Regions from separate parts of the Mus musculus genome. Here regions 2, 3, 4, 5, 6 and 7 are each reported to be linked to region 1. Evidence: microRNA targets listed by miRTarBase, many of them from high-throughput screens and not tested one by one. Region 1 holds a microRNA gene; each other region holds the end of a gene's coding sequence. Distances are from middle to middle.
The links. The annotated mature microRNA mmu-miR-466q reads GUGCACACACACACAUACGU and lies in region 1 at 2,259-2,278, shown strand. An mRNA with a match to its seed (bases 2 to 7 or 8) in the 3' UTR can be bound and repressed. Matches are read on the target gene's strand: a 7mer-m8 pairs with bases 2 to 8, a 7mer-A1 pairs with bases 2 to 7 and ends in A, and an 8mer does both.

Region 1 (4,066 bases):
ATCCATGTTATATATTAATAATTTTGGAACAAGTAGGACAATTACAAAAAGATCTTGTAGTTGGAAATTATACTGCCCAGAGTTAATTTTTTGAGGCTCATCATTTTGATGCATCACCTTCTAGACTTTTCAAAAATTCCAGTTTGGTCATAACAGATATACAATGATATGCCTACCATTATTTGACCTGGAGTTATGTTTAGGCATAGAAATGCATGTCGGTGTCGCAGACCCTGCCCTTCCTCAACAGCCCAGAGTGCAGAAGTTTGACTTGGACCCATGAATGTCCCATGGATATATATATATATATATATATATATATATATATATATATATATAAGCATTTCAAAAAAATTACCCTCTTTTTGAGATTATAATATAATTACATCATTATCCCCTTCCTCCCTCCAAACCCTCCCACAATGCCTTGTGCTCTTTCAAACTCATCGCCTCTTTTATCATTATTTATTGTTACACACATACACACATATTAGGAATGTATGTATGTATGTAGGTAGGTAGGTATATCTCTAAAAACATAAATACAACCTATTCAGTTAGAAACTATATCCATAACATCTAAACATGAGCTGAACAAGGGCAACACTAGACATGCTGAAGTAGGCAGTGGAAAGCCCTCCATCCTACACAAAGACCTACAAAATGCGGAGAACAGGAGAAATTGCTTATCCAATACCAAATGGACAGCCCTGGAAATATACATACAAGGGACATTATACACAGCTTGGCTTTTGCATATCAGAATGGTGTACAGGGGAGCTGGTCTCGAGACAAAGCAATGTTAACTGTAGATTCTGCTCTCTAATTTCTTTTAAGAGTGTATCATTTGTCACAGTGCTCTGCCAACTGCTAACTGCAGTATCGTTTGTTCTGTTGGTCCACTAAGAATGCCTGTTGAAAACACACAAGTGCTGCAAAACAGCGCCAGAAGAAGCCTTCACAACTCTGATTTCTGGGTCAACTGGTATTGGAACATGCTTCCTCGGGTGAGGGTTCTTAAGAAAAAAGATTGCTGGAAAGCGGGCACCAGAGTAGACAGAGACAGGCATGGGATGGGCTCCAGCTTCAGTTTTCTCTTTCAGTCTTGAACAAAGTACCGACCTCTTCTGAGCATCAGTATCTTCATCGAGAAGCCATGGGCAGCATGCATGCTTCTCATCTGATTAGAGAGTTGAGATGGAGATACATAGGGTGCTCCTGTGTGCAGCAGGACTCACTCATGACCTCGTTTCCTCTTCCCTTGTTTTTTACGAAGTCTGCAGAGAAGTGCCAGTGCCCAGATTAGTCAGTGAACGATGATAATGGCATGCTAATATTTATCCAGTGAAGCACTTTGCACAGAACTATTTGTATCATGTTTGTATAATTAGAGGAAACGCTTCTCATCATACATTATGATGTGAACTTTCCTTCCTAGGCTCCCGGTAATTAGATTTGGGTGAGGAAAAATTCCCCGAGTTGTAAAAATATACAAAAACTTTTCTCGAGTTTGCTTTGTGTTTTATATTTGTGACTAGAGTTTGCCATTTCTCTTTTTATTAGGTGCTCACCACAAGTATGTTAATGAGTGGAAGTAGTGGGTGAAAACTGGCGTTTGAGAGCCATGTTAGGTTTAAGCTGACATGAAATTCATATTTGGAGAAACAGAGTAGGATCCGAAGTGACTAGGTAGTATAAATGCTTCAGAAAGCCTCGGTATATTCCTTGAAGAAAATAGACAATTGGATACTTTTTGCTCTGGGCTGTGAAAACCCTTCTGAAGAATGTGGCATCTGGATTCTACTCAGCTGAGTCCACATGGGTATACTACTAGTAGACTTTACTACTATCTGGGGGGTAAGGTGGGGTTTGCAATAGGTGCAAATAAAACTTTATTGAAGTATTAAATGTATATATCACAAGAGAGTGCTTAACAGTGGGGTGGAGCAAAAAAAAAAGAGCTGAGAAATTTTCATGCAGAAAACTGAAGGAATTTAGTGAAATTCTTTATTTTTAACTCCTTCCCATGCTTGAAACAGGGGTCTCTAGTCTAGCCTGGTCTTGAACTCAGTCCTCCTGTCTTAACATCCTGGGTGTTGAGATTACAGGCAGTCACTACCATATTTATCTAAAGTCTACCTTAGGAAGACCCCTCTACTCCTGAAACAGTTTTAAAAATCTCCTTTATATTCTTATTACCTTCTCTTTAGTGTGTGTGTGTGTGTGTGTGTGTGTGTGTGTATGTGTGTGTAGTATATGTGCACACACACACATACGTACCCATGCATGCCATATCTCATCTCTGGAGATAATAGGACAACTCGTAGGAGTCAATTTTCTCCTTTACCCAGTAGTGCCCAGAGACTGATCTCAGGTTGTCAGGCTTGGCAGCAAGCACCCTTACCCTCTGAGCTGCCTTATAGGTGTGCTTTATATTCTTAATACTACTGAAGAGTGCAAGAACCGTATGTTTGGATGGATTGTCTACCAGCATTTATTATAGTGCCAATAAATGTGATTTCATTAAATACAATAAGGACTTTTTAAAGCACAATATTACTAATGCATAACACAATGTCCATTAGCCGCAGTGATGACATCATCTTGTGGCATGCAGCCTCTGGGAAACTCCACTGTACAACTGTGGGGCAAGAGCGAAAATAGCATTTGATGTCATTGTATTAATATATAAAAAGGGCTCCAGAGACTCAGAGGACCTCGGGCATCTCTGAGGACAATTGTAGTGGCTTGTAGTCACTAGAGAGGTCACGCTGATCTGTCCTTCCGTAACCCATCACTCCATTCCAGGATGAATGACATTATTCACAGGGTTAGAAATGAAGAAGGCAGAATTTCACAAGTGGCTCGTGGCCGAGATTTGGTACTGCAGGAGCACAAGAAGAACTACAACAACAGAAGCATTTCATTTGCCATCACTGTGTATCTTTGCATAAGTATTTTTTGCACAAGTTAGGTTAGATCTACATCAAATGAAAAGAGTGGATGTATTTTAGTCAAACTGTGTTAGGAACTTCTGGCCTATAATAGCAGCCAAACATGGGATGTGTGTGCAACCTCCAAACTGGGAAACACTTAAGAGGTGTTTCCTTGAGCTCCTGGCTTGCTTGGCTAGGGCAAATATGACGAGGAGCCTACCAGGTGCTCTGCTCAGAGCTGCAATGGGGAAAACCCCATCCAAACGACAGCAGAGCACACTCAGCTAGTAACAGCTAGCTCTCATTAGCCCCTCACCCGATACAATTAACAGAAAAGAATGAAAGACAGAATAAGCTTAGGAAACAGGTAAAGGGTGGTTTAAGTATGGTCTTAATTCTTTTGAGACAACCATCCCTCCTCTCTCTCTCTCTCTCTCCTCTCCCTTTTTTCCCTTTAATGTGATGTATTTATTTTTATTTCATGTGTATGGCTGTTTTACCTGCATACATGTCTGTGCATCATTTGTGTGCTAGGTGACTGTGGGTGGGAGTCAGTCTCAGTCTATCTAGATTTACAGATGGGCTGAGCTATCATACTGGTGCTAGGAACCAGATTAGTGTCTTCTGTAGGAACAGTGTGTGCTTTTAATTCTGAGCCATCCTGCTAGCCCCACAAGTGCCCCCTTTAAAGCAAACATCTGAGAGTGGCCACAGATCCTTTGAATATTTTCCCTAAATTCACACTGGAGGAGCCACCTTAAAACACAAAGTCTCCTGCCAAGTCTCTCCTCTGGATTGGCCCTGCTGGATTGGTCTAGTCAGTTCCCATCACCATTGGCTAAGACATCTGGCCACTAGGACGCAGAGCACACAAACATTGTCTTTGCAAAAGCTCAGTCAGCGTTGCTGGGACGCACCTTCACCCTGACCACCAGGAGCTTATTTCCCCCATTGATTTGTCTTTCCAGTTTCCTGTGGCTTTAGATCTTTTCTTTTACTCTTTAATGAAAATCCACACGAATGAGACCTTTTGCTTCTAAAATGCTAAGTTGTTGTTATTGTTTTTTGGGGGGTTGCGTGGGGGGATTTTCATTGTTTAGAATTTGTCCTGATGCTCAAGAGATTCACTG
Region 2 (4,066 bases), not on the chromosome of region 1:
AACGGCGCATCTTCCTCTTGTTTTTTTCCACAGATCATTACAAACACCACTGGTTTCCAGAAAAACCATCCAAAGGTTCTGGCTATCGCTGTATCCGTATCAACCACAAGATGGACCCCATCATCAGCAAGGTGGCCAGCCAGATTGGACTCAGCCAGCCCCAGCTGCACCGGCTGCTGCCCAGTGAGCTGACCCTGTGGGTTGATCCCTATGAAGTGTCTTACCGCATCGGGGAGGATGGCTCCATCTGTGTCCTGTATGAGGAGGCCCCGGTGGCTGCCTCCTATGGGCTCCTCACCTGCAAGAACCAGATGATGCTGGGCAGGAGCAGCCCCTCGAAGAACTATGTGATGGCCGTCTCCAGCTAGATAGGAGCCACCCGACCCTGGCACTCTACTGTTCTCATGCTGCCCTGACAACAGGCCACCGTATACCTCAACCTGGGGAACTGTATTTTTAAAATGAAGAGCTATTTATACATGTTTTTTTTTTTTTTTTTTAAGAAAAGAGGAAAAAAACCAAAAGATTTTTTTTAAAAAAAAAAGAAAAAGAAAAACAATTCTTTAAAGGGAGCTGCTTGGAAGTGGCCTCCCCAGGTGCCTTTGGAGAGAACTGTTCTTGATTGCATCTGTGAGCCAGTGTTTGCCTAGGGGAATGGGTTGGGGATTGGCCTAGCCAAGGTAAAAGGGGATTCTTGGCTGATCCCCCCAGGAGGTGGTGGAAGGGAGCAAGGTTAGCAACTGTGAATGAGAGGGGTCAGGGTCTGCTCTGGGTTACCGTCCCAGCTGGGATGCCTGTATGCCTGGTCCCTCTCTTACTCAGGGGCATTCAAGCCTGATCTTAAATAATACTACATTGCCTAATCTTCTCTTTTGTTTTTCGGCTGAGATCAGGGGCAGACTGAAAGGCCTCTCCTGTCCCTTCTGTTCTAAGCAGTCTCTTGAAGCCGTGTCTCGTTTCTGAGTCTACCCTTGGGGGCCTGAAGAGCTTGCTTCCCAGCCCGGAATCTGTCTAAACATTTTTTGGAGGGTGGGATGTAAGGCAGGCGCGCAAAGACTTTGGGGCTAAGATGGAGAGGACCTGCACAAAACCTTTGCTTTGCTCTGTGCTGCTTTGTATGGGTGGATAGTGAATAATTTAGGGATGATTTGCAATGGAATTTTGGGACCCAAAGAGTATCCAATGGGGGTAGGTCTTTTGGACCCAGTCCTTCCTTTTGGGAACCACACGACAGTCTGAATGCTGCTACCACTATTCCTTTGAGAGGTGGCTCAAAGCTCCAGGGAACTCCAAGTCCTTTCTTACTGCCTTCTCTTCAAGAGCAACCTTCCCCATTTTTTCTTTCCCCTTTCCTGCGGTTGGGTCCTGGAGGGCCCTATTTCCTAGGACAAGCGTTCTCAGTCACTGTGCAATAGTCCCAGGATGCTCTGAGACCGGACCTCCCAGCCCCTCCTGATGCCCTGGTAGGTTTTAGGGACCCATTCTTCCCATTCTTCTAGGGGTTCTGACTGGCTGGTGGGCCTTGCGGAGATCTTCCTGGGCCACAGGGAGGGCACCTGTGCACTGCAGGACTACCTGGTATTCTTGTAGGGCTGCCATGAAGAGTCAAACCTTGGGCACAGCTTTAGCTCCTTGGTGCTCAGAGCACCTGTGGGGGAGGTTACCTCTCTCTCTCTCTTAGTAAAATCCAAATTTATTTGTAGATGTGTGCAATATTTACTGTTCTGGGTTGGAGAAAATTGGGAAACACTGGGAAGAAATGGCTTTCCTTCAGGTTCAGTGACACTGATGAGGGCTTCTTAGAAGGCCTCAAGTCTCTCAAACTGAAGGACAGAGCTAGAGCTAGCCCGTCACCCCTTGGTGAGGATTCCCTTCCCCGTTTCTCTCCACCGCCATGGCATCCTGTGTCCTAGATTTCTCAGCTCCTCAGTTTCTGCTCAAAGGTGCTATTTACCAAACTCTCTGCCTGCCCGGGCAGACAGGCCCCAGCTTCGCACAGCCTTCCCAGGTGGCTTCGTCTCTCTTGCTTTAACCTTAACTCTGGGCCCACAGACCTGAGAGCTGTGGCCTACAACAAAGCTGTGAATTGTTCCAGATGGTTCTTGTGTTTTGTCCGCACACAGGTGCCTGCCGTTTAGAAGCTGCCTCCTGGTCTCATGCTTAAATCTTCAATTCTTTACTGTCCTTGTTCACTTTAGAAATGACAAACCCTAGAGCTGGACTGTTGAGCAGGCCTGTCTCTCTTATTAAGTAAAAATAAGAAATAGTGGTAAGTTTGTAAGCTATTCTGACAGAAAAGACAAAGGTTACTAATTGTATAATAGCGCTTTTATATGGAAGACTGTACAGCTTTATGGACAAATGTAAACTTTCTTTTTTGTTTTTAATAAAAATGTAGCAGATCGTGTAATGTGTAGAGAAGGTGGAATTCCATAGCGCTGACTGGCCCTCTTAGATACAAACCCCTTCGTGTTTCGTGGACTTCATCAGTTGTCCTGAGCTCCGTCTGCAGCATGCAGACGTTATAAAAGATACCCTAGGTTTGTGACGAGGTTGCTTCCATTGCATCCCCTCTCCTTGGGAGGCGGCTCCATACTTCTGTCCTTGTGAATATTGTCACAGGTCTCTTAAAAAACAAACAAACAAAAAAGCCCAAAAACCAATATGTTATCTGCACACTCTGCAGCCAGTTCCATAGTTTTGCTCTTGGCCATTCAGCACATTGAAGAGCTGGCCAGCTGTGTCCACATCTGCGCAAGCAAGCCACCACGGCTGGAAACTATATAAAGAAAAGAAACCATCCAGAAAGTTCCAAAGACACAAGACTTGGGTTTGGCACACACTAAGCACACCAGTGCACTCGATGCGACTGCAGTTATACACAAGCACACCCTGATGTTCCTCCTGGCGTCCCAGAGGTCACCCGTGAGGCCAGCGTCTGAGCATGGTTTGTTTCACGCCCCGTTCATGCATAGCAGCACTGGTCTACAGTGGCAGTGTCTTTACTGGGCATGGGCAGACTTTTCCTTGCTGTTCTGGAAACAGTCTAGTTTAACAACTATTTCCCATGTATTAGGCACTGCAGACCGTCTTAGGATTTAAAGTATGTGGGTGGGGAGGGGAGGAGAATACTCAAGTAAAAACTGCTAAGCCATTTTATAAAGGAGATTTTAGCATCTACAAGGCTCATGGAACCATTCCCCATGCAGATACCTAGTGATTAGGCTATATTGTCCATGAATATTAAAAGTAGTTAAAGCACACCCTGCTTTTCACAGACCCCTGGTGGTAAGCAAAGGATCACGACCCTTTTCACAGGTTGAGGCAAGACGATCTGCCATTCCTAGAATAGAGGCTCTTGTCACCTCGGCCACCATTTGTCAACTGCCATTCTTCTTGCCTTGTTAGACAGGATCATTTGGGCTTCAGGGTCTGTGCACTGGGGCCACACATGGCAGAACACCAGTGGCACAAGTTAGCTGGAGAGCAGCTCTTTCTGAGTGTACATGGGGTGAGACCCCATGGCTTATTATTCATTTATAACTACCTTTGACCACGTGGAGAGGGTCTATGCAAGAATAATAATCTGTCATGATCGACTTGGTTTTTCTTTAGAATTTTGTTATGCACTCAGCTCCCCACTAAAGCTACAGGTTCATTTTGACCCACACTGGATGTTTTTCTTGGCTAGAAGTGAGCTGCTCTGAAATTTTCAACTCTCTTTATTTCTGTTCATTCTCCATGACTTTGCATACAGATATGCAGTTTCTCCTGGGTGTTCTTGGTCACAGTTAGGTCAGGGAAGCTGTGTGCATCTGTCTGTATTCTGTGCCTAGGCTGGGAAGTCAAGGCATCTGGGTCACGAATAGAATTGGGTTGCCACAAGAACAGAGCCATTTTCATTTGTCTCTCTCTGGATGCAAGGGCAGGGTGGGGGTCTATGAGTGCTTGCCCTCCTCAGAGTTCTGTTATGTTATTCCATTCAAAGTTAGCATCTATCTTCTTGTTTCCTGAAAGGCCACACTCCTGAAAGGACAGTTCATCATCTAGTAGACAGCTGAAGGAA
Region 3 (4,066 bases), not on the chromosome of region 1:
GGTGTCTTCACTCGGGATATCAACAAGGCCCTGTATGTCAGTGACAAACTGCAGGCGGGCACTGTGTTTGTCAACACATACAACAAGACCGATGTGGCCGCACCTTTTGGAGGATTCAAGCAGTCTGGATTTGGCAAAGACCTGGGTAACGAAACCCTGTCTGTGGGACTGCTTTCCAGCAAACACCTGTCAAAGGCCACCAAGGGCCAGGTCTTGTCCCCAATACTGGGGTGTCACACTGATCAACACAGCTGGTGGCTGGTCAGTTCTAGCTGGGAGGGAACACTCTTGGGACTGATGTACTTGCTGAGACAGCAGTGGAAAGGATATGTATGTATAACATATTCTAGTCACAGGAGGACAGGAGGATAAGTTCTTGGCTGCCAATAGCCAGTAGGGCATCCATACCACCTCCTCTACCATCAATGTAGCAGGGAAGATTCTAGAATGGTTGCCCCAGATCATTCTCCTGCCTGCACTGGTGCCCGAGCCCACAGCTTACTACAGGGATGGCCTGGGTTGGGTGCATGATTTCCTCAGGGCTTGGTTTCTCATCTGTAGAGAGCCAGGCTACTCACAGGTGTGTTCCCCGGAGGGGTCCCCTGCACACCCATAAGGTGTCCCAACAGTGGGTGCTATCTTGCAGGAGAGGCGGCCCTGAATGAGTACCTGCGGATCAAGACTGTGACTTTTGAGTACTGAAGCCAAGACTGTGATACTTCTCCTGTACCCTGTTGACCTCAGGGAGTGCTGACCCTGTCTGGTGACTTAGCACCCTCCTGTCCCCAGCACTGCTCCTTTCAGCTGCTGGAGCTCTTGGCCTGGACCCCTGCTGGTGACAGGACACCCTCTGAACAATCAGAAGTGGCTCCAAGTGGAGTGAGCAGTCATGTCCCCCATGAATAAAAATTGTGAGCAGAGGTCGCCTACACTTTGTGTCACTGCTCTGTCTATGGATGCCTCGTATGGAACCAGAGGCAGTGGTCACCATGAGTCCTGAGCATGTAGCATCACTTGGCCTTCAGAGAACGAGACCCCTTAGTGGGACACAGGAGGAAATGCACATCACACACCTCCAAAAGCAGAATGGGTACAAGAGGCTGTGGAAGAGGGTGCGCCCCAGAAACAGGAAATGAGACTTGGGGAGTGAGCCTTGGGCCATCAAGCACCCCAGTCTCCTCTGCCAGGACCCGGGTTCTCACTCAGTGGACTTGGACAGCCACAATGGTAGCCTGGGGTCTACAGCAGGGACTCCACCCAGCCTGACATTTCCCTGGACAGCACTCCCATCTTCTACCATCTGCATTTCTTTTTATCTTACACCACCCCAGCCTGGAGCACAGCCCCTGCAAGGCTTCTGACTCCTATGCACTCACCCGTGGGTGCCCAAGGCCCTCTCCTCTGTACCTTCTTCATTCTGGAGGTCCCACATACCACATCTCAACAGATTTGCTATTGCCTTGGTTTACCCAACATTCTCTTCTTGGCATGCCAACCACTACCACCTTTCTTTGGCTCTGCCTCTCTTGGTCCAAAATTCTTTAAAGGCCTTTCTGTTCTTCTCTAACTCCCCTGGCCAGGCAGGCAGTGACCTGGATCAGTCGCAAAGATTTCAGGCCTATGTAGTATCCCGGACTTCCTCCGCATCCCTGCCCTTCTCTTAAGTGGGGCACATGCCTCAGAGTAACATTTTCGTCAGTGAGAAGCCACATACCTAATATTGATTCCAGAGTAGCAAATCTGAGAATTCCTACCACCTATGACGTCACAACTGATGTGATGTATGATGTCACAAGCGATGTGACATAAACACTTCATCCTGTATACGTGATGGGGCCGTGTAAACCCCACCACATGGCTGTTGGAATAGGAAACTGGGTGGTCACAGTGACACTGTCACTGGCCATGTGTCCACTAAGTGATAATCGGTGTATATGGTTTTTTAAAAAATATTTATTTTATTATTTTTTTTGTCTCTGTGTTTGTGTTTATGTGCACGTGCACGCAGGTACCAGAAGAGATCAGAAGAGGATATAAAAGATATCAAATCAGGGTTACAGGGAGTTGAAGGCTGACAGATTTGGGTGGTGGGAATCAAACTCAGGTCACCTACAAAAGCAGCAAGCTCTTAACTCCTGAGCCGTTTCTCTAGTCCATTAGTGGAGTGTGTGTGTGTGTGTGTGTGTGTGTGTGTGTGTGTGCTGAAACCAGTTACAGTGTTATACCTGCAGCAACCTTATCTGTCTGGTGTGTGTGCAAGATGTCCCTAGTAGATCATGTTCAGTGAGTGACCTTGACCATCTAGATTATGAGAGTTTACTCTGCTGTGACGTGCACAGTGACATTGCCTGACAGCAAAGCTCTTGGACCTTATCCCAGTACCAAGATGACATGGGGCAGTAGATTGTGTGACTCCCACATGTGAACACTGGTAGTAGCAATGGTAACCACAATAGCTTGTCGAATGTTGCGTGCCATGCAGGCTTCTAAATCCTCTCCACACATTTGTACTGCACATGCTGTAGTCCAGTGAAGGACTAGCCCACTGAAGCACAGAGGCCAGCTTGCTCAGGGACCTGCGGCTGCTACGAAGCTCCTTTTCTCCTCCCAAACCAAGAGACCCTTGAAGCCCTTGATGCGAAGTGACACAGAAACCCGGGTCCTGAGTCTCTGGGAATATCTCTGAAGCCTTCACTTTCAGGCCACAGCTATAGGACACCAGTTCCTAATGGGAGATCCAGACCATGCCCTCTACATGAAAGCTCTATTCCATATAGAGGGTAAAGTGGGCTGCTCCCCAGGGCTCCCTGCACCTAGGCTGCAGCCTCTCAGAGGTCTTCTTACAGGTGTCTGTGAGGTTTGTTCTTGGTCTGTGTGTGTGTGTGTGTGTGTGTGTGTGTGTGTGTGTGTGTGTGTGTGTGTGTGTGTGTGTTGGGTGGCAGGGTGCACATCCGGCCTTTCTTCCTGATGCCCGTGGAAGGGAAAGATGTGTGTTTACTTCCACTGCCCATTTTAAGGCAGGATAAGGATGTAGCACTGTAACACTAAACCCCACTCTGTCATTCCCAACGGCCACCTCCCTCCTTTTCCAGAACCTTTTCATCTTGTAAAGCTTAGGGATTTTTCTGCCTTTAAACACAGGCTTTTCATTCTCAGGTAAGGCAAGCTGAGTCTGTGAGCCCAGGGTTCACGTTCAGCTGGGCTGGAAATAGAAACATCCCACAGTCTGCACCCTTTACCACATGCCCACAGCCAGCTAAAGGGGGGGTAGCTCAGTGGGGGAGCAGTCATGCTGGTGTGTGGGGCTCTGGGTTCTAGCCTCTTCACCTGTGTTTGCACATACACGTTAGTAATCTGCAGTTGTTATTCTACGCATTGTATGTATCTTGCATGTGCTCCATGTAACATTTAAAATATGCCACAAGGTTTGGCCTCCGTTCTGACATTTCTTCATTTCACATCTGCTGCGCCCCCCTCCCCACCACCACCAATGAGATCATTCAGGCCCTTTGCAAGGTCCCAAGGAGAAAGATTTGGGTCCTGTGAGGAGACCCTGTGCTCTGGCTCTCCCAGCTGCCCTGGGATAACCCCCGCCCCTTGCCAGCTCCTCCTCGTGTGCAGTCAGCTAAACCTATCTTTAGCATCAGGTCAGTTTCCTCAAGGCATCAGGTCAGTCCTGAGAGGAGGGGGTTTTAAGCTCCCTGGGTGCTGTCCCTGAGGACTGCAGCAAATCAGGTCTGCAGACGGCAGCAGAACTTACATGCAAGCTGTCCCCACTGTGGCCCCACAGGCCGATCAGCTGCTCCTGGCTCCCACCGTCCTCCTCCAGACAGAACAGCAACAGTGCTGAGGCCACCGCAGAGTCCACACTGACAAGTGCTGTAAGTCGTTGTCTCTGAAAGTCAGTCCAGTGTCAGCTCAGGACCTGTAGGGAGAGAGAGGCTTGCTAATGCATCAGAAGCATGCCCAGCCTTCTGACTCTGGCACTGCCCGACTCTTTCTGGTGGGCAAGATTCCGTTTCTTACCTGAAAACAGCAACCACGATGCCCGTCTGCCCAGTCCAGC
Region 4 (4,066 bases), 62 Mb from region 1:
GGTGTGGCCAGGCCCAGTACCCTCATGTCTTAGCTTGGCATTACTGGAGTCAGTGCTGCGCCACGTCGGACTCAACGAGGTTCATAAAGCTGTTGGGCTTCTGCTGGAGACGCTAGGGCCCCCTCCCACCGGCCTGCACCTACAGAGGTAGGACGCTCTCATCTAGGTGACCCTTGACATGTCCTTTGTACCTTTCTTTGACCCCCTCCTATGTCTACTACAGGGGAATCTACCGTGAGATCTTATTCCTGACCATGGCTGCTCTGGGCAAGGACCACGTGGATATAGGTAAGGGTACAGTCAGGTACTGAGGAGATAAGGGATTTGAGACCAGGTATGAAAGGAGGTCCTAATGCATCGGTTTCCATCCTCTATCCTAGTGGCCTTCGACAAGAAGTACAAGTCTGCCTTTAACAAGCTGGCCAGCAGCATGGGCAAGGAGGAACTGAGGCAGCGGCGGGCACAGATGCCCACTCCCAAGGCCATCGACTGCCGAAAGTGTTTTGGAGCACCTCTGGAATGCTAGGGACCCTTAAGCTCCCCTCTCCAGCCTTGAGTGGAGAGGTGCGGAAGAGTGGATTCTAGACATAGCCTGACTCCCTGTTCCCTTCACAGAGGAATTGGGAACAGGATGTTCAGCCTAGGCTCCAAGTGGGAATAGTAGAAAGAGGGACTCACTGTTACCCAAAGTCACAATTCTCCTATCTCCACCCTGCCCTGTTTGTTCATGCTGATGTGGGGGAGAGCTAGGGAAGTTGACACAACTCCGTCTTTCTCCATCCCATTCCAGGGTCTCCTTTCCAGGGTGTCCTCAGATCCGCAGTGCCCTGGTAGACTTAGAAGTTTTTGTTTTAAAAAACAACTGGAAAAACTCAGAGCTCCTGAGCCTTTGCCCTGAGTGGAAGGGAGGAATTTCATTCCCCACGTCTCTTCCCTGACATTGCTAAAGGAGCCCAAGGCAATCTTAGTGTTGTATTCTATTTAGTTATTTATTCTGAGGCCACAGCTCCTATACTTATGGGAGTCTCAAGGAGCGTGAGAAAGAAGGGAATTAGATTTGTAGCACCTTGAGAGCCATGCTCTGGGACCCAGAGGAGTCCCAAGCTTCCCTTAGGAAGAACTGGTGCCTCTTCTAGTCCTGATCCTCTTGTCCACTCCACCTTGGGGAACACCTCTCCCATCCATGGCCTTGACCTGTGCAATAAGGATTGTTCTCTGCAAAGTTTTTTTGGATGTAAATATAGTAAAAGCTGCTTCTGTCTTTTTTTTCTTCTGCCTCCTGTTCTCTGGATTTGGGGTGACACCTTACTTTTCCTGGCTGCACATTCTCTTTTCTGCCTTTCCACGTTTTATAACCATCAGGTATACCCTACTTTTCCTGGCCACTTGATATATCGGGAGTTCTCTGAGCAGAAGGATGAAGCCAGTGCCGGCTATGGCAGTGCCAGTCTGCATGGCACTTCCGGCCCTCCGACACAATCACCCCCTTGTCCCTCATCTGTACCCCACACAAAGGCTCCATTCTCTGGGGGCCCTGAGCTCATCTTTGCCTTATTTCCTTGCCTCCTGTTCCCTCCCTGACCCCGCTTCTTTAGTACCTTCACGGAGATGACAGCCCTCCTCACTGGTTGCTGTCTGCGGCCCTTCTGTATCTCAGAAGCATGGCGATCATCCCAGCTCTCTAGTCAGTCTAGCTCCAGTGTACCTCACTGTGGGCTAAACTTGCTACGTGTGAATGCCAGGAAGATGGGCATCATTTTTTCTTTATTTTATTTTTTAGACTATTTTATGTGTATATATGTGGTGTGTGTGTGTGTGTGTGTGTGTGTGTGTGTGTGTGTTTAGAGTATACATATGCACTACATGTAAGCAGTACCCACAGAGGCCAGAAGAGGGTATTGGATATTCCTGAACTAGAGTCACTGTGTAGATGCTAGGAACAGCACCCAGGTCCTCTGCAGGAGGAACAAGTGCTTTTAACTGCTGAGCTAGATCTCTCCAGCCTTCCAATCCTTAAAAAACAAGCAATGTGTATGTGTGTGTCACATATGTGCAGGTAGCACAGTGGTCAGACAGGGTGTTGGATCCCTTAGAGATGGAGTTACAGGCAGTTGTGAACTGCCCGATGTGGGTGCTGAGAACCAAACTTGAGTCAAGAGAAACCAGTGAGCACTTTTAACTGCTGAGCTGTCAGTCCAATACCCCCCCCCCCCCCGCATTATTTTTCTAATCTCAGACCCATTTGGAATTTTCTTTCTTTTTCCTGTATAATGAAATAAATACAGGAAACAACTTCTAGCAGAACTACAAAAACCAATTACCACAGGGAATTAGCTAAAAATACAAGTGTCTTGGGGTAGCCAGGCATGGTGGCGCACACCTTTATTCCCATCATTCGGGAGGCAGAGGCAGGTGGATTTCTGAGTTCGAGGCCAGCATGATCTACAGCGTGAGTTCCAGGACAGCCAGGCCTACACAGAGAAACCCTGTCTCGAAAAACAAAACAAAAACAAACAAACAAAAAAAGATTTCTGGCTAGGGGTGGTGGCACACGCCCCATTAGTCTCAGTTACAGGCAGGTTATCTGAGTTCTAGGCCAGCTTGCTCTATATAGAGAATTCAGGCTAGCCAGGGCTTCCGTGAGACCCTGTCTTTGAAAATAAATATAAATATTTCTAATTGTTAGGCTCTTGAAGCCAAAGAATCTTTTCCATCATGTCCTGAGGATGCTTTTCCAGTATCCCAAAGGTGTAAAGAAGGAAATCAAGGGATTTCAGACATTCTCTTTTGCCAGGAGGTGGTGGTACACCCCTTTAATTCCAGTTCTCAGGAGCCAGACACAGGGGCAATCTCTGTGAGTTCCAGACCAGTTTAATCTATAAACTGAGTTCCAGGACAACCAGAGCTACACAGAGAAACACTGTGAATGGGGAGAGGAGAGAGGAGGGATGGGTGTGGGGATTCTGTCTTACTCTTTATTGCATCCAGTTTCTGATCAGGTGACATTGTGTGTGTGTGTGTGTGTGTGTGTGTGTGTGTGTGTGTGTCTGTATTTTGCTGGTGATCAGCTCTAGGATCTTAAATATACTAGACAGACATTTTCACCCTATTCTAAACCTGAGCTACATCCCAGCTGTTCTACTTTTTCCCCCATAGTAGAGTTCGAGTCCAGAGGCCTCCTGAACACTATGCAAATACTCTACCACTGAACTATAGCTCCAGTTTTCTTTTCTTTCTTTCTTTTTTTTTTTTTTTTGTTTTTTTTGTTTTTTTGTTTTGTTTTGTTTTGTTTTGTTTTTCAAGACAGGTTTTCCCTAGCTGTCCTGGAACTCACACTGTAGATCAGGCTGGCCTTGAACTCAGAAATCCGCCTGCCTCTGCCTCCCTAGTGCTGGGATTTAAGGTGTGCGCCACCACTCTGGGCTATCTCCAGTTTTCATGTGTCCTCTTAAAGTAAGTTTCTGTTTATAGTATGCTTAGTACTGCACTGGACTATAGCAAGACAATTTTAGATCTCAGCCCCTCCCCTAGAAGAGTACAGAGTCTTACTGGTCTAGAGTACTCTTTCCTGGACCCAGGCTGGCCTGAAACTTGCAACATGGTCAAAATGACCTTGAATTTTTGATAATACTGCTTCTACCACCAAGTACTGGAGTTAAAAGTCCTCCAAAGAAAACTCCAGAATTCCTTAGCTATCAGGCAAACTGAGGCCTAGAGAGCTGTATTGAGGGCTAAGATATGGCCAAATTACCTGACTCAACTTCTCTTCCCAGATTTTGGCGAATACAGGCTGAAGGGTAAAAGATTTGAAGTGTATCTTTGTCTATTGCAAGTCAGACGAGTTCTGCTGTGTCTCAGCTTGTGTTCATGTGCAAATAATGGGGGTGAGGCTAATTCATCTTTCTTGTTTGTTTGTTTTTTGAGATAAGGTTTCTCTGTATAACAGCCCTGGCAGTCAATTTATAGACCAGGCTGGTCTTGAACTCTCAGAGATCTTCTTGGTTCCGCCTCCTGATAGGATTAAAGTCCTGGGTCACCATAGCCTGTGATGTTTGTCATTTAAGGA
Region 5 (4,066 bases), not on the chromosome of region 1:
AGGCAGCTCTGGGCAAAGCCTAGCTCAGCTCTTTGTGGTTATGACAGAGTTGCCACGTGTTGGGGAATACATCCTATTTTTAGCTTTCACTTCCCCTCCCATCAGCTCAAGACAGCATCTTGGCTTCTTCTCTTTTAAACATAGATTTGTCTCCTTGATTTCATATCCCTCAACCCTGGAACCTTAGTTCCCTTTCAGCATTCTCATGAAGACATGTAGTTCTTGTTCTGGGAGCACATCAAATACACACACACACACACACACACACACACACACACACACACACACACACACACACACCCTTACTCTACCTGTTCCCATGTCTCTTCCATGACACTAGAAAAAGAAAATAAGATTTTTTGGGGGAGGATATATGTCTGTTTTACCTAGAAGACTAACCTAGTAGAGGTTCTCAATAAAGACTCATTGGGAACAAACAAACAAACAAACAAACACAACTGTAAAGGTTTTCAAGCCATCAAACCCCAGACTCTATCTGTGATGCTAGGTCTTAGACTAGATCAAAAATTTGTATGCAGGCTATTTCTCTATTTTTAAAGATGGACTCCTCTGTAGGCTCAGGGCGTACACGGTTCCCTTGGAGCATGTAGGTATAGTTGAAGTCCAGATGAGGGGTCCTTGTCCTCCATCATCTGCTTTAAAGGACCTCAAATGGTACCAGACAAACATAGGTGTATGTTTGGATTTTCTGTCCTTGTGCATTTTGGCCATTGGTACCTACATACCCTTCTGGGACTCCGTAGTTAGTATTTCTGTGGCGCCCTATAAAGTGGTTCATGAGATATCAAGCAAGAGTGAGTGTATTGCAACAATCCATGAAAGTGTAACACAGCACCTGGCTCATAGCTGCTGGTTCCATTAATAAATTAATAGACTTATTTGGAGCAATTTCAGGCATCTCCCAGTCATTTTCTCTGGGCTAACTGACAGATTCAGTCACACTGGCAGAAAGGAATACAGATTCTGGGTTTGAGGAGAGTTCTCAGCAATTGGACGATGAACCTCAGAGTCCAAAGAGGCTGAGAATAGCTTATTCTGGAAGGAAGTGGTATCAGCTACCACACTGCCAAAATCCTGGCAGGAGCAACTTACAGGGGAAGGGCCTGCTTTCGATTTTGAGTTCTAGAGGTTATAATCCATTGTCATCAGAGGCATGGCGGCTTTAGGGGCTTGGCCTGTGTTGGAGGGAGTTTGCAATGTCTGCTTCTTCATAACATGGTGGACAGGATTCTGCCTGAGGTGGAGCAGAAGGCTTGCCCAGAGCCAGGAGTGACTGTCACTTTCTAGGCCTGCCTCCTGGAGACTCACCGTCTGCAGACAGACTCTATCTTCTATAGGGTCTACAGCACCCTTAAATAACACCAAGTGTTGAACCACACAAGCCCGCAACCTTGAATCTTTTCGACTCAATCCATAACACTCCCGTCTTGGCTCACAGGTCTTGGCTCAATATGCCTACGGTCATCACACAATGCAAAACACATTCCATCTAACTTCAAGAGTCCCTAGCCATAACAGTTCAATGTCCAATGTCTTTTATGAGATGTAAGGCAAAGTCCTAGTTGTGAGCTCTTAAAAAATAGAAAACTCACATACTTTCAATGCACAATGGCAGAGGAAACATTCACATTCCAAAAGGGAGGGATGGGGCGTGGCAAAGAAAGAGCCAAAGATAGGAGAAAACTCAGCAGAGAGGTATAAGCCTTGAAGCTCCGTATCTGGCATCTTGGGTACATGGTATCATCATGTATGTTCCAATGGGTTTGAGGAGGCCTGTTTCCATGACCTTCCAACCAAAACCACACGTGGCCTCTTTCTCGGGTGTTTTCAGTGCCTGAAAATTTTCTTAGTAGATGCTTTATGTTCTGGGCAGCTCCAGCATCCTTTATGTTTTAGGCAGCTCCAGCATCCTGGAGTCTAAACTGCAAGTTAGGCTTTGCCTTCATAGTTTTATGCAGGCTTACAAGGCAGGTCCATTCAGAAAGCCCAACCTCGATACACGTTGCCTGGTTTTCCTCCCCTGGAACCTTAGTGCAAGCTTCAGTGGCTCCCCAGAGTTTACATTCTGCACGTGTGGACATTGCTGAGTTCTGCTGTCACTCCAGGATGGAGCCATACCTGCTTGGGTCAGGGCTCCAGCAGCCTCTGAGAACCGTGAGAACCCAGAGAAACACTTCCACAGTCTGATGTGCGATGTGGGACACTCTGTGTTCAGGCATTCTTTCTTTTAAATGAAAGCTTTTTTGAATAGGGTTTTTGAAAGACAGGGTTTAGCTCTCAGTGTCCCCTTTCTCTTGTCCTAGGGCACAGTCTGGGCTCATCCCTTTAACCATTACAGTCGAAGCTGAAAAACCCATTTGAAAACCCTTCATGCTGTCTATCAACCTGCATGCTTTTCCCATCTTCCTGTTCCTTTTCTTTGTTTTGAGTTCTGCTGAGGTTTGGTCTGTTGCTATGTATTGTAATACTTGTCACTGGTCCCCAAGGTCTGGTTGCCCTCTGGGACTAGAGAATCCTCACCTACACAAAGTGATACCATGTTTCCCTGCTCCTTAATTTAAAACTACTGGGTGAATAAAGATGTCGGCAGCCTATAGCAGGGCAGAAGAGAGGGAGGTGAGGTTTTGGTTCCCAGGCTTGGGATCTGAGGCAGGAGGTTCATGAGGAGAGACGGTGGAGAGAGAAGACACCATTGTGTTGGGGAATCATGAAAATATGGCCATAAGGGCTGGGCCAATTGGAGTAAGAGCAGCCTAGATGGAACATGGCAAATTATATCTTGGGGTTATTGATAGGGAAGTAGGCAAAAATAGCTTAGAGGGTAGATATCTGCCCAGCTCTAGTCTATAAAGGCTTATAATAAATATAAAAGGTTATGTGTCTTTTATCTGGGAACTGAATGATTGAGATTATTTACATACAGCTATAAATGTGAATAAAAACAGCGAACATGGCTGTGCCACAGCCAAATGCTGTGCTTTGTCAAAAATTTCTTCATCAGACAAATTAGTCCACTGTCTATGAGCACAGCCTCATTCATCATTACCGGAGACAGGATGGGCATAGAGAGATTCTTAGTCAGAATGTCTGAATGGGCTGTATCCCAGTCCCCAAGAGTCATTGTACCCTGAAAGCCCTTGAGCCTGAACTTCTCTGTCTGGATGCAAACATGTGGGTCTGGCGGGGAGACATTTACATTCAGTCTTTGACAGAAGTTTTCATTTCTGCTCAGAATGGTGAGGTTTTGTTTGTTTTGCAGTTTTGTTTTGTTTTGTTTTTTTCTGGAGAGGACGGAGTGCTGTCATCTAGATAACATTTTCAAAGCTTAATGACCTTGGCACGAGTGGCTTTGCAGGCAGGGAGCTGGGACTCTTTACCTGCAGGCAGACATGGAGAAAAACACTGAACATGGGCAGAGTTCTGGATCCCTCACAGAAGACTGTTTTGGGATAATCCACCCGCCCACACAAGATATCAGCTGGCTATGAAGGTGTGTGCCCCCCCTTCCCCCATCCTCAACTGTCAATTGCTCTGCAGAGTGGTGCCAGACTGGCAGGATATGTAAATGTTTGCAGCTTCTTCACCTGCCCCCAAAGAGAGGCAAGCTGCTGTCAGGAGAGCGGAATATCTCCGACTATGCTAATAGCATTGTTGCTCTAGATACAAGCTGAGGAATAAAGAGCTGGAGGCTGGAGCTGGGGCAGAGGGATGGGAGCAGATCAGGAACAGGTCAGGGAAGTAGAGCGAAGTGAGAAAGAGAGAGTCACATGGAAGGTGGGTTGATCTGATGGGCTAACTGAGGAACTGCCCCAGCAAACAGGCTAACAGCCTTATACTATGCAGATGTATTTATTATTAAACCCCAAGTGGGACCCCAAAAGCCCACCCTGTCACCTGTGATAACCGTTTCATCCCAGACACTCTTTCTAAAGGTGCCCAACCCATAGCTCCTCCATGCAAGGGCCTCCTGTTTACTTTTACCTTAGAGAGATTATTCTCCAAGTGAAATGTTTTTTGTTTTTTGTTTTTTTATCTTTCTCCATCC
Region 6 (4,066 bases), not on the chromosome of region 1:
TGGAACCGCATGGTTTCCTAAACATACACAGTGGCCGGCCATGGATCCATGGGAAGGGAAGGAATGCAAGGCACTGCCCTCCCGCCCGCTACCGGCTGCCTGGTCTCCCCCGCCCTCTGCACAGGGATATTTCAGGCTCTCCCAATGTCAGGCTCCTGACATGCACCATATGTAGCTGCAAATCCTAATCAATTGCAACATTTCTTAACTGCTGGAACGCCTTCCCCAGCACTGTAATTTACCCTCAAAAGAACAGGGAGCAAGCACTTTCTCCTTCCCAGAACCATATTCTACTAAATGCCGCCACCCTCCCAAGCAGAGCGACCTACGCAGAGGAAGGCAGAGAGTGCTCCTCCAAAGCCCGGAACAGACGGCCACAGTACATATGCCACTGACGAGAACTTTTATTTCTTTTTAATGACATTAAACACAACTGCTACAAGGGGAAAAACATGATAAAAAAGGAGGCACCAAACTTCAGTTTCATAATCGACCCCGACAACAACTCGAGTAAATCAGAGCCCGATGAGCTGCAGAGCTATTGTTATTTCGGCTCCTGACCTACACAGGAACTATTTATCAACAACACATTTTAGCTTTGCTTTGTCAAGACCCCTATGGTAAGAACGTCCCCAGGGATGATAAAAGACAGGAACACAGTTAAATGCACATAACCCTTACTCAAATTTAAAAATACAGCAAGAATTAATTTAATCTACAAGACTTAGAGGCCAAACCCAAACATAAGAGATATGCAGCTCTGAAGAGATTAAGCCCCGGCTTCTGGCCAGTACCATCTTTAAGGCTAACATGCCGGATGAGTTTTCTTTGGCTTTTTTCTCCTTAAAGAATACCATGTTAACCAGTACAGAACAGCTCTCTCCTCCCCCAGTCCACCAGATTTAATTAGCTGCTAACACTTTGGAAAAACAGAATTATCTGCGCTAGAGGAAATGTGATTGTCACATTTTCTAGTTAACCTGTCACTCATCTGCTCTGACAGAGGCAGCACTCCCATTATACATTCAGTCTTAATTCCTCCTGGTAGCAGGAGAGCAGGAGCTTTGCTGTCCCTCCACTCCCTGGGCTCCCCGTGGGAACCATTCAGCCCCAATGCTAGCTACTCCAGCGGTAGCTAATCTGCACTTTGTTTTGGTCCCATAGGTGGGTTGTTTGGCATATCTCAGTCTAACAGGCTAACTCACAGCATCTTGGACAAGTCAACTGAGGTCAACAACAAGCGTGCCCATCAAGAGAGGTGACTGGACTACTGCCTTTCAAAGTCTGGTCCCAGAATCTAAACCAAATAACTAAGAAATAGAAAAGTCTTTCTGGGGGTGGCGGGTGGGGCGGGGGGGGGGATGTCAAAAGCAGGGAGTGGTGGTGCACACCTTTAATCCCAGCACTAAGAAGGCAGAGGCAGGTGAATCTCTGTGAGTCCTGAGGCCAGCCTGGTCTACCCAGACAGGAGGGCTACATAAAAAAAAAACCTGTCTGAGGGGTGAGGGGCTGGAGGGAGAGAAAAATCAGAAGTGCAAGACCATCTTGGGTTAAATAGTGTGTTGATGGCTAGCCTAGGCTTTATAGGAGACCCTGCCGCAAAAAAGGAAGGAAAGAAGAAAAAACTTTCACTAGATAAAACTAACACACACTTGGGAACATTTATCCAAACCTATTAAAGGCTTGAAAACAAAACAAAACAAAACAAACAAAATCAAGATTTTCCTAATCACAGTCACTTTTTCAGTCCAACAATGGTGATTCATCCTTTTACTCCCAGCAGTGAGAAGGCAAGGTAGGCAGAGCTCTGTGAGTTAAGGCCAGCCCAGTCTAAGAGCGAGTTCCAGGACAGCCAGGAGTATACAAAGAAACCCTGTCTTGAAAAGCAAAAACAAAACAGAACAAAAAGATCATTTTTCTGAGGCAGAGTAGACTATTCAGGGTGGGTTAGCCACATATAAAATGAGACAGAGGCTAGGCAACTATGAATCACTCCCACAGTGACTGCAGCAGCAGGAGTGTCATATTGTAAACCCTCTCAGAATGATCTCTAGAGCTGCCTGTAAGAAATACAGATCTTTTAGGACATCCATTAAGACAGTACACAGAGCCTAGCGCTTTGGTTGGAACACCACACCTTACGCGGTGCATGGTGGTGGTGCGGTGCACGGGCTCAATCGTACTTTCCCAAGATGCTCAAACACTAATGTGAAACAATGGACCCAATGCTACAACTACAACGCTAACATCCAGGGTATAAGGGTACCTGTAACCAACGGGAGAGGCCAGTGACTCTCCCAAGGATTTCATAGGACGAAGGTTCCTTGAACAGCAGCAACACATAAACTCGGGTTCCGAAGACAGAACTGAAGATTCCTAGACATCCCAATTGTGCTGGCCTAACAACAGTCAGGATTCTGTGCCGGCCTAACGACAGTCAGGATTCTGACAGGATTTCTTCAGCAGACAGAGGGCACCTGAGAGCCATGTCTCAGTCTAACAGGACATAAGAACACTTACTGCAAAGCTTCAGGACTAACCGGTCACTGGGAGTGGGAAAAGGAAAAGAAAACAATGGGGCAGAGAAACCAACCAGTCACAAGACCACAGAGTATTGAACAAGGGTTATTCAGCTGTCTTCTGTCAGTTAAGATGTGTAAGATTTCAAACATTATGAACGAAATATATCTAATAGAGAGTGAAAAAAGCCACTAATAATTTTTTAAAAAGGCAGCTAATAGGTACAGAAAGGAGAGGATTTACACTTTTAATCTAGCCCTTCAACAGGACTTTTCTCCTTCTCCTATTTCAAATGTACTGAATTGGCAACATTAAAATACTGACAAGTATTCAAGAAACTCAAATTTAAAAAGAGGGGTCGTTAAAAGTGACTTCTATCTATTCACAAGTCAACAATAATAATACCGGCTCTTAGCTTGCAAAACAGCCTCTTCCTTACAGTAGACTGGAAGGTGAGTCTGCCTGCCCTTACAGCTGGTATTTTACTCAAAGCCTGACTGTTCTGACTTAATGCAGGCCTTCAAAAGAGAATTACCTTCATTTAAAATTTAAAAACAGCAACAACAACAACAACAGTGAACAAACAGAAAAACAATACTTAACACTGCTGAAACATATTCACCAGACAGACATACAAATCAGGGGTGGGGGGTGGCCCTCATTAAAAAACAAAAATTCAAGACAGTAATGGGCATTTCCAAAAGGTGACAAATTCTTTAAATAAAAATCTTGTGAAATAAAACTCAAAATATACAAACAAAAATAGCAGAGGAAAATGTGATGCTGCTCTGGACGGGACCCTTGGCAGGAACTGTCACTGTTGATGGGATGAGACATATGGACTGTAGGAGAAGTCTGGGAGACGCTGGAACCGATGGTGGCTCCGCTTGTTTCTGTCAACCCACTGACTCAGACTGTACCTCTGCAGAGGCCTCTGTCGGAACCGGGCGTAGTTTCTATTGAGAGAAGGAGAATAAAAACAGGAAGCGTTTTCAGCTGGAACTGTCATCTGTATACGAAATAGCTAGCACAACTACTTTTAAAGCTATGTTTAGCCAGGCAGTGGTGGCACACACCTTTAATCCCAGCACTCGGGAGGCAGAGGCAGGCGGATCTCTGAGTTCTAGGCCAGCCTGGTCTGCAGAGTGAGTCCAGGACAGCCAGGGCTACACAGAGCAAGCCTGTCTTGAAAACTCCTAAGGACTGTAAGGATCAGATTATATGGTTGCTGTTGTCTGTCTGTTTGAGACAGGGTTTCCATGGAACTTACTTGTTGGGAGCAACCCTGCTTGAACATTAACTGCTTTACTGCCTTGTCAGCCCTAAGTGCACTGGCACAAAGTCCTGGCCTCTGTGGGAAAGTACTAACCCCAGTCAAGAACAAAGAGCTATAGATCTTGTGGACAGGTACCTAGCAACCCATTCTGTTCTGTTCCTCCTGCTGAACTTTTTACCCAGCCAATAGCCTGCTCTTGGGAACAGGTGCATTCCCCCAGAAACAAAGCGGCCCCCTCCACCCCACTTACCCCATATCCTGCTTCTATGA
Region 7 (4,066 bases), not on the chromosome of region 1:
ATACAGTGATGAAATTAGAGTCACCATTAATATCTGATATGTCAAAAAAATACAGGTGGAGTGGTAGTGCAATGCATTAGGGGGCAGGGGTGAGACTGGTGAGTGAGCCTTGCCGAAACTGTCCATGTGTCTGGAAAGCCTTGCTTTAAAAGCAGCAGGTCTCTTACAAGGAGCCTTGAAAATGCTGCACCAATGGGCCAGAGAGGTGGCTCAGCAGGAGAAGTGCTTACTTCATGACACGAGTCCTCATTCCCACGTCTCTTGTCAGAGCAAAGGAGAGAACTCACTCCACAGAGCTGCTGTGAGCACGCATGCACACCATAGCATGTGCACACAGTCATGGTAAAGTGCAAGTGCATTGTGCAAGAATGCCTCTACTGAGGCTGCATCTTAGATAACTCCAGGAAAAGCAATACACACGGAGAGATGTACTTTACTGTTACGTACCGATCAGCAACCTTAAAACAGTTTAAGGATCAAAGAACAGCTGCCCTGGCTCACAGAAAGAATGTGTAAGTGCAGAAGATTTCTGCACACAGCAGTGTGTGGCCCAGAGCCAGCTCTGCCCTGCTGGAGACCCCGAGAGCCAGCGCTGCCCTGGTGGAGGCCGTGTATAGCCCAAGGGCGTGTCAGTTCTTAGAGCTAAAAATGTCTTCTTCTCTTAGGTTCGCTTTCAACCCTTAATACAGAAATAGCCAACACCAAGCTTCTACAGACCATCTGAAGCTACAGTGCTGTGCTGGGGGCAGTGTCACACGCTGTTTTATGACGTAAGTCTCACGGTCTGTGTTCTTCCCCCAGGCTCTCAGAAGCATGAGGAATTATGATCTCTGGAGGAAGATGGGAAACCCACCTTGACAGTTTGGACTAACTGCTGTTTTCTCTGATCTTTCGATACGACTGCTGATGAACGGATTGGGCAGGTGTACCACACCTATTGATCTGAGCATTGATTTAGACTACTGCACCCTAGTGGGTGCTAGATCCTTGGGGCTAAGGCTCTGTTGGATTTGTACCTCAGAGGAAGACAAGTGGCTGGTCTTCTGGGACTCTTCTTCTCACCAGAGGGAGAAATGCCGGCAGCAACTGCAAGAAGCCCAGTCCTTCGGTGCCCACAGCCCAGAGCACACACTGCTGTGCTGGCCCAGAAGCTGGGCAGAAAGGTCACCATGTTCTTCCTTACCTCAGTTTACCTGCAGCCCTTGCTGCAGTGCAGATGCCCACCCTGTACCAGGTCAGGCCGGCAGATGCTTCATCCATGCCTCAAGGTCTACGCCAACATGCTTCTCACGTCTCTTCCCCTCCCCACCCCCCTTCCCAAGCACTAGGCTTGTTGTTTAATGGAGCCCAACCAATAATCATGTGTCTTCAGGGTTGGCTCAGTGCAGTTGCTAAGCAAATCAGTCTTCAGGAGAAACGGGGTGGTGTGGATAAGGCTGGAAGAAATGGCAGGTAGTGGAGAGTGTTGGGGTGTTCGATGGAAGACAAAAACATGGGCCGTTCTCTTCAGTCTAGTACCCAGTGAACTGTCCAGGTAATTGTTTTGTAAACAATTTTTCTATTTATGAAAATGTGTGCTTTTTCTTCTTACTTTCTAAAAAGCTGTTGGTTATCAGTTTCCTGGCTGGGCACAGGCGTCCTGAGTCCCTCAGTGACCGCTCTCAGCGTGCTCAGCCTCCGTCTGGATGCACCATACTGTCTGCCCTTTCCCTTGTAGAGTTTTCTCTCAGACCCAGGGGATAACTTTGGGTGTTTCTTCCCCCAAATGCTCTCAGACCTGTGACCAGGAATGACTCTGTCTCTGGAACTCGGTTTCCTACACTCTGTCTTTCCCTTGTGCTTTGGCTCTGAGGGTCCCCTTTGGCTTTCGAGACTTGCCGAGGTCTGGTCCAGTTCTAAGGTACTGCTGCTGTCTGAAGCAGCACCCTTCACTGCTTTGTGTTCACAGCCACAGCCCAGCATCACCTCGGGAGCAGCCTGGGCTGAGGAGCCTTCCACGTGTTGTTAACCTGGCTGGACAGGTGTGGGTGTGTGGTGTCATCTCTGCCCAGGACTCAGGGATCTACAGCAGAGAGTTAGTGTTGCTGGGCACAGGGTGTGGCTCAGTGGCAGACAGAGTGCTTGTCTAGCAAGCCCAAGGCCTTCTGTCTGGTACTGTATCTCCCCAGCCCCCCCCCCCCAAAAAAAAAGACTGAATATGAGGAATGAGTACTGTGGGTAACTAAGTTCTTGCCTGTCCAAGCTAGGTAATATGTGTGTTACCATGGAAGAATGGCCTACAGGAGCCGTGGTTAGGGATTTGAGTGGGCAATTGTTAAGTAATAAGTAGAGACAGAAAACTGGATTGGGAATTCAGAGAACCAGCATTAACCCCCTTACCTCGTCAGCTGGAGCTCCCACTGAGAGTCCTGGGCAGAGCACAAGTGTCCCCTCAGGTCAGGAATCCACATAAGAGAACAAAGAGCAGCACTAAAAACAACATCATTTAGTTCGGTGCTCACGACACCCCAGAAACGAGCTGGGGGGCTGCTACCATCGGTCGGTCAGCAGGGTTTTCTCCCTCTCCCTCTGCAGGCGCTTGGGTAGCAAGGACAGGCTGTAGCGAGCCCTCTGACCTTGGAAAGGTGTCTGGGAATAAATTACTTCCCAGCTGTTTCAAGCGATGTATTTTGACTCTTGGATTATCAAAGTGTTTTGTCATTTGTCATAAAGTCAGGGAAGGGGCACACATCCCCAGACAAAGGGCCATGGAGGATACGTTTGAGACAAACATGTTCCATAGCTTCTTAGCTTAACTAGCCCTTGACATTTATTGATACAGTGTATATTACAACATGAATTTCAAAAAATAAAAAAATTACCACACATATATCAAGTAATATCTCCCCCCCCCCCATTTTCAAATCTAAAAGTTAGCTTAAGAGCCAGCCTTTGTTCAGGCTTCATGTCCACCCTGGATTAAGCTCTCAGGGCTGCTGCGCCCGACTGTGAGCGGAAGCTGTCTTCCCAGTGCCCTGGGAGCCTGGAGTGTTGAGCAGGAATAGTCAGTGCTCTGAGATGCTGGCCCGGTGGCCAGGGTCCTTCTCTTACCAAATTATGTGTGCCTCCTCTGAGGAAGAGGAAGGCATGGGTCTCCTATGGCCCTTTAGTCCCTCGTGGGTCACTACACTGACATAAGTCATATTCAGAGCTGATGCTGGCTAGGCCAGACCCTAAACTAAACCCTTCTAAAGCTGTCCAGGCCCCCCCTTTCCTGGTCCTTCCTTGCATCCTGTGGATTAAATCATCTCTACAAACTAAGCCACTGCCACAAATGGGCTGCTGCCGGCAAGTGGCCCTGGAAGGGTGTCCCTGTCAGATTTCACCTGACATTCTCACTACGAAAAAGCATGTTGTGACTGAAAAGAGAGATGAGCTATTCTCCAAGAAGCAGGAAGTGACTGAGCAGACAGGTTATTGAGGCTCCTGGAGAGCTCACCGCCATTCTTGGCCTGCGAATAAATGGTTCTTTGACCTCCTGTCATATAGCAGTAGAGTGTTTCCTTTCTGAATCACTAGGGTAGTGTGACCTGTGACAAGTCAGACTGTGCCGATGTGAATCCATGAAAAGCGGCCCTTGACTGGACCTGGGGCTGTGGGGCACAGCTCTCCAGAGTCCTGGGTTAGAAGTATCCTGGATGCACCCATGTCGAGAGTGGTAATGTGCTGGTTTCATAAGATAGTTGGCGTTGTTACCCGGGCAGAGGCTACATTTCTGGTTGAGCATGGTCGTCTCGGGGCGTGCATGTGTGCACCGTGCAGGGCCTGTCTGGTCAGGAGCAGACTTCATGGCAGGTATGTTACCTGGCTCTCGTCTGAGTTGCTGAAAGATGAGCTGAGAGCCCAGTGCTAAAGAAGGAAGAAAAGAACAAGCAAACAAACAAACAAAAAACAGGAAACAAACTTGACTGGCATAGTTTAGGACTGGTCAGATTTGGTCACCAGTATGAAGTCAACTCCTCTTGTCCGCGTGTCCTCCATTAAATTACCCTTCTAAAATTACCCTTCCTAGTTAGACCCGCATGCT

Region 2: the mRNA of Btg2 is a reported target of mmu-miR-466q. Seed matches in the 3' UTR shown: 7mer-A1 at 1,406-1,412 and 8mer at 1,706-1,713.
Region 3: the mRNA of Aldh1l1 is a reported target of mmu-miR-466q. The part of its 3' UTR that is shown has no 7-base or 8-base seed match.
Region 4: miRTarBase lists Dennd4b as a target of mmu-miR-466q. Seed matches in the 3' UTR shown: 7mer-A1 at 1,196-1,202.
Region 5: the mRNA of Slamf7 is a reported target of mmu-miR-466q. The part of its 3' UTR that is shown has no 7-base or 8-base seed match.
Region 6: the mRNA of S100pbp is a reported target of mmu-miR-466q. Seed matches in the 3' UTR shown: 7mer-m8 at 1,385-1,391.
Region 7: miRTarBase lists Uggt1 as a target of mmu-miR-466q. Seed matches in the 3' UTR shown: 7mer-m8 at 3,787-3,793.

Annotation. Positions count from the first base shown.
Region 1 is chr3:28,417,730-28,421,795 of GRCm38, forward strand. Mir466q (microRNA 466q) reads left to right here and starts at 2,214; the gene lies at 2,214-2,289. All of the region lies in intron 2 of Tnik (TRAF2 and NCK interacting kinase), which reads left to right.
Region 2 is chr1:134,073,671-134,077,736 of GRCm38, reverse strand. Btg2 (BTG anti-proliferation factor 2) reads left to right here. Exons shown (of 2, transcript NM_007570.2): 2 at 34-2,872. The coding sequence ends at 368. Among named protein-coding and RNA genes, the nearest start is that of Btg2, 3.5 kb to the left of the region's middle.
Region 3 is chr6:90,598,241-90,602,306 of GRCm38, forward strand. Aldh1l1 (aldehyde dehydrogenase 1 family, member L1) reads left to right here. Exons shown (of 23, transcript NM_027406.2): 22 at 1-145; 23 at 647-931. The coding sequence ends at 702. It overlaps Gm15756 (predicted gene 15756), which reads right to left and starts at 1,700. Exons shown (of 2, transcript NR_157234.1): 1 at 1,377-1,700.
Region 4 is chr3:90,279,397-90,283,462 of GRCm38, forward strand. Dennd4b (DENN/MADD domain containing 4B) reads left to right here. Exons shown (of 28, transcript NM_001356483.1): 26 at 1-147; 27 at 224-288; 28 at 381-1,269. The coding sequence ends at 526. Among named protein-coding and RNA genes, the nearest start is that of Mir7012, 11 kb to the left of the region's middle.
Region 5 is chr1:171,631,599-171,635,664 of GRCm38, forward strand. It overlaps Slamf7 (SLAM family member 7), which reads right to left. Exons shown (of 8, transcript NM_144539.5): 8 at 805-3,398. The coding sequence ends at 3,327. Among named protein-coding and RNA genes, the nearest start is that of Mir7683, 8.3 kb to the right of the region's middle.
Region 6 is chr4:129,147,616-129,151,681 of GRCm38, forward strand. It overlaps S100pbp (S100P binding protein), which reads right to left. Exons shown (of 7, transcript NM_001379590.1): 7 at 387-3,476. The coding sequence ends at 3,335. Among named protein-coding and RNA genes, the nearest start is that of Fndc5, 13 kb to the left of the region's middle.
Region 7 is chr1:36,140,987-36,145,052 of GRCm38, reverse strand. Uggt1 (UDP-glucose glycoprotein glucosyltransferase 1) reads left to right here. Exons shown (of 41, transcript NM_198899.2): 41 at 802-4,066. The coding sequence ends at 827. Mir6897 (microRNA 6897) reads left to right here and starts at 740; the gene lies at 740-801.